Linked DNA regions of Elephas maximus indicus. The protein of the gene in region 1 interacts with the protein of each later gene in a pairwise test. Links are inferred from orthologs where the notes say so. Each region holds a gene or a part of one and is shown in the gene's direction. Other genes may lie near its edges. The genes, in order: SF1, DDX17 and RBM17.

Region 1 (3,747 bases):
AACTCTATGGGGCAGTTCTGCTCTGTCCTATAGGGTCGCTATGAGTCAGAATCGACTCGATGGCACTAGGTTTGGTTGGTTTTGGTACCATCTAAGGAGTCTTGGTGGCACAGCTCGGCTGCTACACCAGCTGGTCCTTGGAAACCCTATGGGGCAGTTGTAACTCTGTCCTATAGCGTTGCTATGAATTGGAATTGACTCAATGGCAATGGGTTAATAACTAAATCATTTTTTCTTTACTGAATTGAAACATCACTTTTCTGGTATTCGTGCTTGCATATGGGGAATCTATTTCTGGACTCTACTCAGATTCTGCTCCACCGATCTGTCCTTCCTACAGCCAATATACGGTTTTCGTCATTGTGTCTTTATACTACCCTATCTGGAAAGGCGAGCTCTTCCTCAACCTCTGTTACACCTTTTTCCACCATTTTCATTCGGATATGATTTTTAAGATAATTTCTCCAAATCCCTTCCAACCCCGTTGGGATTCTAATGGAAACGATTTATTCTTGTTAATTTTAGAACTGACAATTTCATATTATCATTCACCTAAGATTTTTTTTAAGATTATTTAAGATTATGTTCTCACATTAGCTCAGATAATTTTTAATCCTTCAATAAGACTATGCCGTAGCTGGCTTCTTTTTTTTTTTTTTTTTTTGCACTTTTTAGTTTTTTCAAAGAAAACCCAAACCAAATCCACTGCCGAGAAGAGTCGATGCCGACTCCTAGCTATAGAACACAGTAGAATTGCCGCATCTGGCTTCCCAGGCTGTAAGTCTGTACTCTTCCGCAGAGCGCCTGGTGGGTTTCAACCGCAAATCTTTCGGTTAGCGACCCAGCGCTTAAACACTGCGCCACCAGGGCTCCTTCAAAGAAAACAGGAAGTCCCTTTTTACCTGCAGCGACAACGGATCCGGTTACTGCGCGCGCGCGCGTCGCCCCCCCCACCCCGCCACTCCACGGGCCCGGGTTACCATGGGAATAGAGGATGACGTCACCCAAAGCTTCAGCGCCGGACCCAGGGGTCCACAGCCGACAGGGCTGGAAAGGCGGCTTTGCCATATCTACGCATGCGCACTCCCTGCCCCTCCTTCCTGCCTTAAAACTCGTTGGTGCTGGGGCTCCTCAGCCGCGACCTCTTGGTTCATCCGGTCGAAACTTCGCCCCGGAGAGTAGAAAAAGAATCGAGCGAGTGACAGCCAATCCCAAGACATTACGACGCCATCAAGATTGACTGACTCAACGGACTCCAGCCAATGAGAGAGCGCTCCTCTTCCACGTCATAGAGTTTGCCCATCCCCTCCCCGCCTTCCTGGACTCCGAGCTCAGTCCGCGCAGTAACAAACGAACTGCGCGCAGCGACAGCCCCAGCTCGCCAGGCTTCGCCGCCATTTCCTCCCTCGGCCTAACGGTTCGGCCAATCCCAGCGCGCATCGACAACGGCTAGGGACCGGCCAATCGGAAGACGCCGATCCCGACCCCTCGAGCCTCGGCCCGGTCCAATCGAGGCCCCGGCCCCGCCGCCCCCGGCCCGCCCCCGCGGCGCCCTCTCTCCTCCCTCTTTGTGCGTCTCGCGCCGCCGCCGCCGCCGCCGCCCGCCGCGTGAGAGGACGGCTCCGCGGCAGCGCAGTCCGGCCCCCCCCCGGAAGATTGGCGAAGGAGAAGCCGCCGCCGCCGCCGCTAAGGAAAAGGAGCCGCCGGTGCCGGTCCCAGGGGCGCCATGGCGACCGGAGCGCTGGGTAAGCTGGGCCTCCCCGGGCCCAAAGGGAGCTTCGAGCCGGGGCCGCCGCCCGCCCTCGGGCCTGGGGCGGGTCTACTGGTGCCCGGGCCGCCGCCGCCGCCGCCCGCGGGCGCGATGGGGGCCCTGACCGCGGCCTTCCCCTTCGCGGCGCCACCGCCGCCGCCCCCTCCACTGCCCCGGCCGCCGCTGCCGTCCCCGGGCTCCGCGAACCCGCCGCCGCAGCCGCCCCCTCCGCCGCTCTACCAGCGCGTGTCGCCGCCACAGCCACCCCAGCCGCCGCGTCAGGACCAGCAGCCAGGCCCGGCCGGCGGCGGAGGAGGTGAGTCGGGCCGAGCGCGCGAGCGGCGTCGCGCCGACGGGCCCGGCCGGCTGAGGGCCGCGCGGCTTCGGCGGCGGCGGCGGCTGCACGCGGCAGGGGCGCGCGCGGCCTGGTTCACGGGGACTCTACCGCGCACGCGCGCGGGGGGAGGGGAAGAGCGGGAGGCAGTCTGCTGTGCGCAGGCGCAGTGTGGCGGCCAGGCCTCGGGGCGCCGCTGCAAAGCCCGGGGCCCTTATTTGCTCTCCGGTCCGCTGGCATAGGGGGAGGCGTTGAGTGGCCCGGGTGTAGAGGGTGGCAGGTGGGTAGACCGGGAGGACAGGAGAGCGAAAGGGTGAACTCGTGACTTGGGCCGCCCTTTTGATGGTCTAAGTTGTCTGAAAGGGAAAAGAATACCCAGAATCGCCTCCCTAGTTGCACCTTAAGGCGAGGTTTTCAGTACAAAGAATGAAAGAGGTTGAGAGTTTCCACCTGATGGTTGGGGCTGTTCCTTCCTGGTCCCTTTTTGTGGGGTGGGGTGGGGGGAATCTGGTCACTGCCTTCCCTGTTTTATTTTCTGATCTCCCTTCGTTTACCCTAGAGCTTGCTCAGTCTCACCGCCTCCACTTTACTGTTGTTTTTAAAGACTTTCCCTCTTGGCTTGCACCCTTGGGGAACTAGAACGACTTCTGCGTGCTAACAGTTGGGAGTTTCTGCCTCTCTGTCGGGGAAGGGCCGCTTAGCTGCTTTCACATACCTTGTTGGTGTGAACTCATACATCTTTGAAGAGTTCAGACTTTAAGTGTCTACCTGGCCGGGATCACCGAATGCTGATCATGGCTAAACGCATGGAGAGTAAGGTGGTGGTGTTGAAGGATTGGGCTTTTCACGCAGTAGTGTGTAGTGATGAGTTCAGGGGTATCCCGGCTCCATTCAGAAAGGTGACTGGTGCGGGGTGGAGGTAGGAGCCAGCAGTTCCCCCAGCATTGTTCTACAGATTGTCTGTGGTCCTTCACTCTGCTCCTGTCTCCCCTGGGGCTTCTGAGGCATTCCGGCCAAGGTAGTATAGACGCTATTTACTTTGTTAGTATTAAATTTAATTACGTGAGATTTTGTGTACTACGTTTTGTCATTTCATATACACACGTTAGTAGTTTCTTTAGAGGGAAGTTATAAATGTGTAACGTTAACTTCTCTGACCCAGCTTCTCTTACGCTTGTAGTAGCCATATGTTTCGTTTTAATCTCTGATCTCTGACATTTGTCTTACATTCCGTGATGTTTAAGTTTTAGGTTGGGCCCTCAGTTTCGCCATCTGCTGAGGTTCTGTGGAATACAGGTGTCTTGTGCTGCCTGTTGGCAGTTACTGTGCTAGTTTGTATTTGCATCTGATGGATTTTATCTGCCTTTAGACTTCCCGAGTAAGAAGCGGAAGAGGAGCCGCTGGAACCAGGACACAATGGAACAGAAGACGGTGATTCCAGGAATGCCTACTGTTATTCCTCCTGGACTTACTCGAGAACAAGAAAGAGCTTATATAGGTAAATACACGTTCTGCATCTAAACGCATTTTCAGGTTGTTACTGTTTATCCTGAACAATATTTCTGTCCTTTGGCAGTTTGAGATTTTAGTGGTTTCTTTTTTGACAAGAGGTATGATGAGGTGTACTTTTATGGCTTTAACATAACCTGCCAGTTTTTGCTCA
Region 2 (3,747 bases), on another chromosome or scaffold:
CATGTACTTATGCTCTCACTTCCGCGTCTGAAGACCACCACTCTTAAACTGTTACATTCTCGGAGACCGTGAAGGGCCTTCTGGGGCAGCGGCATCTACCTAAGGAGGTTCCCCACCAACAATTTGCTTCTATGTTTGGACGTCAACTGTGCTCAGCTGAGAATGGTACAAATATTCTGTTCAAAAAATGCACTTCAGTGTGAATCAAGTAGAGCAGAGAGCGCTTTAACCCTGCTGGCATGTCGCCGCCTGACCCCCTCCCGAAAGAACCGGACAAGGCGCATCCATCATGGCTGCCGGCGATAGCGCAGGGAGAGACAACCGAAAGGAAATGGAGACCGGGTGCGCGGCCTGTCTCGGCGGGCCGAGGGCGGAGGGGCGAGGGGGCTTGCAGGGCTATTTAGGAGCGCCAGCCAGGGACCCCTAAGACCCTCCTGGGCTTCTGACACTCGGAGACCCTAGAATTGATGACTGCAACATGGAGGTTAGTTATTGTCCCTGAAAGCAACGCGGCACTCCATCCCGCGGTCGGAATCCGGCAAACTCTATTCTCTAAACATAATGCGTTACGCATAGTACGCATCTTCGCAATAGTGGGCAGGCTAAGGCCGCAAAGAATGTTACGTCGCACCCGAGCCTCTTCCTCCCCACCCCCACCCCGCGTTCCAGTTCAGGTGGCGCGAGAACTCTACGCCCGCTCCGTACTTTGTTTTTCTTCTACCTACCGTAAAACACGCCCATCTCCGCAACTAACGTAAACCGATTCCAAGAATAGTCGTATTACTCCGCGAGGCCCTCGGGCTATTCCGAGACGCTGTTTACGTATCGTCTCCGGCGTACGTAGCGTTAAGCTGGAGCAGGCTCAGCAGCGACCGCCATTTTGTGCAGTCGCTGGGGAGGAAGGAGACGCTTAAAGGCAGCACTGCTGGGTTTAAGGGTAGCTAAACCTACCCAGCGTTTTAGTAATCCCGATTCTCTTGTGTTTTGCTCCCGTCTCCGACGAGAGAGGCGGCGACGGTGGCGTCTGCGACGGGAGATAGCGCGTCGGAGCGAGAGAGCGCCGCGCCTGCCGCCGCCCCAACAGCGGAGGCGCCGCCGCCATCGGTCGTCACCAGACCGGAGCCGCAGGCCCTCCCGAGCCCGGCCATCCGTGCCCCGCTCCCAGATCTCTATCCCTTTGGGACAATGCGCGGAGGCGGCTTTGGGGACCGAGACCGGGATCGTGACCGTGGAGGGTAAGGGGGGAGGAGGAGGAGAAGAAAGGCCTTGGATGTACGTGGGGCGGGAGGAGGTGGTTTCCTGAGGAGACTGAAGCCTTCGGCCTAGCGGGAGCGTTGGAGGAAACTGCAGGGCTAGTCACCCTCTCCCCGAACCCGGGAGGCGAGCGGGACAATAATAGCAGTTTGGTGCGCTGGCCTGTGGGCGCGCCGGGGCCTCGGTCCCGCGGTCACTCGTGACCTGGCAGCAGGGGCGGCGGCTTGGCGACGCTCCAGCTCCTCTTTGTGGACGGCGGTCGTGGCGCGGCCTGGCTCCGAGGGGAACCAGAGGCCGGGCCGGCATGGCCGCCGCCAGCTCGAACCCGGGCCGCGCCTGGTTTCCCGGTTTCAGAGCCCGGCCGACGGGGCGAGCCACTGAATCGCTCTGGGCCTCGGCGGTCGCCCGGGAAACTGGGGGGATCCTGCGGGAAGAGGGGGACGTCGCCTGATGCCGCCTGGGAAAGCGTTAACGCGAAATGGCTTCCCTGGTGTTCTCTAGCGCCTGAGATGGCTGTTACTGGGTTGGGAACCTGGTTTGAAACTGGACACCGGGAGGCCGACTCTTAATTTTTAGGATATTTTTTAAATCCCCTTCAGTATCTTTTGTTTTCCACTTTGGAGGAAGCACGTTCAGATGTAAATGATCGTGTTTGGGAAGGGAGTTTTTTTTTGCGGGGGGTCGTTATTGTATTTTTGATTATTTTTCTTCTCGGTTTTTTTTTTTCCTCCCCCTCTGACTGGACTGCAGTATTAATTTTTCAGCCTAGCTATAAAATTCTTAATGTGACAGTGACACAATGCCAAGGATTCTGGAATGGAAGTTAACATGAGATCAGACCTGAAGTACTTCCAGAGACTGAGTTTCAAATCTTAATGTCGCTGAAATGAAAAAGATGCTTAAGAGATCCATGCACTGATTTGTACTGTAACTTTTTTAGTTAATAAAAATTATGTCTCTCTTTAGAGTAGTACGAATCCACTTCTTAATATATGCGTGACCTTGAGCAAGATCTTCAACCCAGCGTATTTCCTTCTCTGATAACTCTCTTTACTTTGCAGTGTTTTGTTACTCTGTCCCCACATTTTGTCTTTTGTAGCTCAGATACACAAGTACCAGATTTACTAGCCGCATGTACCTCAATTATCGCTTAATTTACCAAATAAAAGATAATTATTTTGTTTGTACTTTGTTAGGAAGGAAAATACTTTTATCTTGGTGTTAAAAAAAGAAGGGCTAAAAATGAAACATTTGCTTGGAGTTTCATGATATAGCTAAGTGTAGAAGTGAATTTCAATACAACCATTTAGGAAAAAGAATTATATCTAGTAAAGTTGAAAATGACCAAGTAATTCCTCTCCAAGCTTTAAACCCTACATTTTAGGGCCTAGAGAAACCCTTGCTCACGTGCCCAGGATGCATGCACAAAAATGTTTGTAACAGCATTGTTCCATGATAGCAAAATACTGTAAACAACCCAGATGTCTGGATAACTTGTAGGTTTTCATGCAATAGAATACAGTAGCTAAAATGAATAAACTTACATCAACATGGATCACTCATAAACATAATATTGGATCAAAAATCAAGTTGTGGCAGAAGGATAGCTTGTTTAGTATGTGTAAAAATATGGTAAAACTATAAAGAGCAGGGGAATGATTAGCAGAGTTCAAGGTAGTTGTTAATGGTGGAATAGTAAACTTGAAATAGGCACATAGGGGCTACCACAGTAGTGTTAATGTTTCTTTACCATGGATGTTTGATTTAATATAATGTTGCGTATATGTTTTTAAGTGATAAACTATTTGAAAAGAAAAAACTTGAGTTTGGATAGTAATTCATGCTTAGTTTATCCCATATCGATGCTTCTGAGTATTAAGATGACATTTTTTTTTAAGCCTTAAAATTATTAATTTCAAATAATAGCATTCTTTTATGAGGTCTGAGCCCTGTTTTCACGAATTTTCCTTTATGATTCAGTATAAACATTTAATGAGCAGTTCAGTAGTGTACCCAGGTATTAGGTTATGTTCACATTAAAGGATGGCACAAACAGGCTCAATTCTACAAGGATAAAAGGTTCTTTTTCATTTTGAGGTCAACATTAATTATAAACATAAAAGACAGCTACTTTTTTTTCCTTCAAATTTTACCTTCAGTGTGAAATAGTACCTCTTGGATAAATAACGAGGGCAGTAGGGAGATGGGAAAATACCTTTTTTGTCATCCCTTAAAAAAAATGGCTGTTGAGGATAAACTTTAAAAGGAACCTCTTTCAGAAGTTGTTTTCTCTTTCTAAAACATTAGTTTTAATGTCAGATCTGGAAAATAGCATTGAAGTGGCAACTTCTAGGAAACACGTAGGTTTGTATAAACTAGATTGATAGAATCTCTAAAAATTGGTGTTTTGTCATTTTTCTTTTCTTTGCATGACAGTGATAACATAGGCTTGGCTTTCTGTTTTATGATTACCTTATATAGAATTGTGCTGAG
Region 3 (3,747 bases), on another chromosome or scaffold:
AGCACTGTGATGAACATAGGTATGTATATGCTTGTGCCACTTCTATTAGATTCCTAGGGTATATACCTAGGAGTGGAATTGCTGGATTATATGAAAGCTCTACCTCTAGATTTTTTTAGGAACCACCACATTGTTTTCCACGAGGGTTGTCCCATTTTGCATTCCCACTAGCATTGGATGAGGTTCCAATTTCTCCACATCCCCTCCAATGCTTGTTATTTTCCTTTTTCAAAAACAATCTTGGCATCCTAATGGGAGTAGAATGGTATCTCTATCAGTTTGAAATATTCTTGGCCTCCAATTTCAGTTGTAAAAACGATCGTATTTACACAAAGTCCCACTTTCACTTCCCCTCCTAACTTTTGTTAGTTACATTATTTTTAAGTTGTGAAGGTTTATAACATTTACATTCATTGCTGTAACCCTATTCTCCATATCTGTTGTTTTCTTAACCTTACAGTTCAATCATTTCAACGCTTACTACCATTTCCTCTGCTGCAGTTTCCCCATTCATCTCGCCCAGGGATTTATTTTCAGCTTTTTGTATATAAATGAATGGGTTTCAATGAATTAAAATGAAGAGCCAGGAGGAATTCTCTCTCCCTCTCCCTTATTAGAAGACATTTGGTTCCCATTGAGATCTTTGCAACCTTGGACCATTTCTACTTCTTACCGTCCGGGGTCACTGTCACCCTCTCCAAAAAAAAAAAAAAAAGTTATGAAATTTCAAAGGTTGCGCCAAGGCGACACCTTTTGGTGGAAGAAAAAGACGCCGACGGAGGGGAGTCTGCAGTGCAGACCTCCTACCGTCAGGGGGCACTGCTGCGAGGAGCCAGCAGCGTAGGCGTCCCCTCTCTTCCGGCAGTACACGTTCTCTGACCCCCGCGCCGCGGAACCTCCTGCGGATTTGGCGTAGGGGTTGGCGCCAGCTGTGGGCTCCGGTCGTCGGTAGGTTTACGCAGAGTGCGTCCAAATCTCCCTTTTCCGCGGCGCTTCCGGGCTCGGTACGGAGCTTGCGCGTCTCGGACTGCGGCTCCGCGCTGCCGCCGCTCCGGCCCATGGGGAAAGTCGGCCGGGTGGGCCGGGTAAGTAACCCCCTTCGCCGCCACGCCGGCGGCCTGGCGCGGAAGCTGGGGCGGGAGCGCCTTCCCGAGACAGAGCTGGACGTGAGGCCGCAGCTTAGGCCGCGCCGCGGTGGGAGCGGAAGGTTTTGACCCGGGCCAGTCTAGAGCTGCCGACGGTCTCATACTCCAACGCTTTCGGGTTCCTCTCTCCCTGCACTTTCTCTCGCATCTTTTGCGTTGGTCTCCCCTTGCCTCTGGCTCCCATGCCCAGGTGCTGCCCCCGGCCTTCTCTGTCCGCCGCATTTCTCATCGCCTTCCTCCGCCCCGCTCTTGACTCTGCAACTCCTCGCAGCACCTCTGCCACTTTTCCTTTATTTTCTTCTAGTGACCCAGTGCCTCTCATTTCTCCTCTTTTCCCATCCTTCCCTTTCTTGTCTGTCTGTTTCAATCTCTTTTGGACTAAAGAACGTTCCTCTCTTTCGTTGACCATGTTTAGAAAAAGTTTATCGGTCCCTAGTTTTTTTAGCCACTAGCTTCTAGCAGCCAGGACAATATGTCACCTGTGGCCCAGCTCACTTGCATCGCTCCAGGGCTCAGGGAATTAAATGGAAAGAAGGCATTTCCATCCCTGGTCTCAGAACAGGGAATTCCAAGTGTTGGCATCTTTCAAAGATGGGAGCTTACCTGGGCAGATGGAGGAAGTCATGATTCCGGTGTTACCTTACTCCTTGTCATTGTAAAGGAGTGTTTTAGTTGTGATGTTTAATCACCGAACAACGTGTTGTGAACTGTCCAGACAACAACGTGTTGTGAACTGTGGATGCAGCATGAGTAAGATTTTGCCACTACTCAAGCGTTTGGTCTCTAGGGAAACCGGCATGGTTGTGCTTGGGTTGATATGAGGGACTAAGGTGTGGTTTGGAAAGGCTTTAAAGAGGAGGCGATGCTTATGCTGAGTTTTAGAGAATAAATAATATTTTGTTAGATATACAAAGTATAGGAAGAGTTTCCTGCAGAGAAAATAAGTGAAAAAGTAGCAGAGGTGAAGCACCATAATGTATTCTGGGAACTGCAGGTAAGGCTCAAGAGAAACATTTGAGGAGAGTAATTGGAAGGGTAATTAGGTCAGATCATAGAGGTTCTTTGAGGAGAAAGTAAGGGAAAGCATTGAAGGCACTAATTGGAAAAACTAGGCATATGGGTGGATATTCTAGGTAAGTGCAAGATTCTGCACATACTCAAGTAGATGGGTGGATGAGGACTTCTGTGACTTCCTACAACAGGTGGAGATTTTAAAGGATGCATCTCAGTTTCTACATTTTTACTGGATAAAGGCAGCAGGCATTTTGGGTAATAATAAGGGTTTTTAGGGAATAGAGGACAATTAATAACTTAAATTGAGCGTGTTTTATTTTTAGAGTTTAGAAAGAGTAGGTTGTGTGATAGATAATGTAACAAGGTACAAGTATTAGCAGTGAAGAGCTCGTCTGACTGTGGAGTTCAGTGGTTACTAAAGATAGCTTTTATGGAAAAATAAAGAATTTTGAGAGAATTGTTACGCACTCCTAGATGTGATTTTATTAACTGTGTTTCTTTTTAGCTGGTTGTTTTAAATTACTTTCTTAGTTTTTGCCGAATGTGAATTCTTCAGACCTCCCCTGGCAGGGAACAGATGATTCAGGTCTAGTAATCCCTCAAGCCTTTCATAGTAGTTAATTGTGAAGGATGTTCTGTTTTATACCTAAATTCAAGTGAAGTTTGTTTGTAACACACTCCAGTGTATGGCATTGTGGAAGTAGAGTCTTTGAGAATGAATGTAAATATTAAACTGTGACAAGGGTGTCCCTGCACTGCACCCTAGCTCCTAGACCAGGGGAAGATTTATAACAAGGACCTTCCACCAGAGCTGATAGAGAAGAGAAAGCCTTTCCCTGGAGCTGACACCCTGAATTTGGACTCCCAGCCTACTAGACTGAGAATAAAATTTTCTTTGCTAAAGCCATCTACTTGTGGTATTTCTGTTATAGCGGCTCTTGATGACCAAGACTGAATTTGATACCAAGAGTGGGGTGCTGCTTTAACAGATACCTAAAATGTGGAAGCAATTTTAAAACTGAGTGGATAGAGGACTCAGAAGGAAATGAGGAAAGCTGTTACATTGGGGTTGGCACAGACAGCAAAGGACTGGCAGCAGCAGAACCAGAAAACCAGCACCACATGGTGCTGGACCTGACCCACAGAGCGAGAGAACTGAGTGTGTTTGCACAGGAGGCTTCCTGGTGGAGTGAGGTGCCTCTGAGCACTTATTGGTGGAGCTAGGCTTGCTGACCCACTGAGCAAGAGAGCTGAGTGCCTTCCAGTGGAAGTTTACTGGTGGGGTGGGTTGCCTCCAGGTGCTTATCGGTGGAGCTTCAGAGCTCTGGAACACCTGCTCCAGCAGGGCATATGCGGGTGGTGAGGCCCAAAGGGCCAAGAGGACAAGGAAGCAGAAGCTGAAGAAACAAGGAACACTAAAAGCAGAGCTGCCTCAGTCTCAAAGGGCATGGCCATGACCTCTGGGGTCTCTAACGGTGGAGCCATGGCCTTTGGAGTTTGAGTTTGGAGTTTGAGGGGGTGGAGTTGCCACTCAAATGGACTAGGAAAACTAAAGCCGACAGAGTGGAGTTGCCATTCCAGTAAGCCT

The links.
Region 2: the proteins of SF1 (region 1) and DDX17 interact in binary tests that used the Homo sapiens proteins (3 or more experiments, as listed by UniProt). The link is inferred for Elephas maximus indicus from reciprocal best matches to the Homo sapiens genes SF1 and DDX17.
Region 3: the proteins of SF1 (region 1) and RBM17 interact in binary tests that used the Homo sapiens proteins (3 or more experiments, as listed by UniProt). The link is inferred for Elephas maximus indicus from reciprocal best matches to the Homo sapiens genes SF1 and RBM17.

What each region holds. Positions count from the first base shown.
Region 1 is NC_064825.1:127,946,149-127,949,895, reverse strand, and holds the start of SF1 (splicing factor 1), read left to right. Parts: upstream 1-1,315; 5' UTR 1,316-1,726; coding exon 1,727-2,066; intron 2,067-3,453; coding exon 3,454-3,582; intron 3,583-3,747. UniProt on the Homo sapiens protein: Necessary for the ATP-dependent first step of spliceosome assembly. Binds to the intron branch point sequence (BPS) 5'-UACUAAC-3' of the pre-mRNA. May act as transcription repressor.
Region 2 is NC_064822.1:182,372,382-182,376,128, reverse strand, and holds the start of DDX17 (probable ATP-dependent RNA helicase DDX17), read left to right. Parts: upstream 1-979; 5' UTR 980-1,185; coding exon 1,186-1,235; intron 1,236-3,747. UniProt on the Homo sapiens protein: As an RNA helicase, unwinds RNA and alters RNA structures through ATP binding and hydrolysis.
Region 3 is NC_064822.1:52,636,185-52,639,931, reverse strand, and holds the start of RBM17 (splicing factor 45), read left to right. Parts: upstream 1-860; 5' UTR 861-948; exon of another isoform or gene 949-1,085; intron 1,086-3,747. UniProt on the Homo sapiens protein: Splice factor that binds to the single-stranded 3'AG at the exon/intron border and promotes its utilization in the second catalytic step. Involved in the regulation of alternative splicing and the utilization of cryptic splice sites.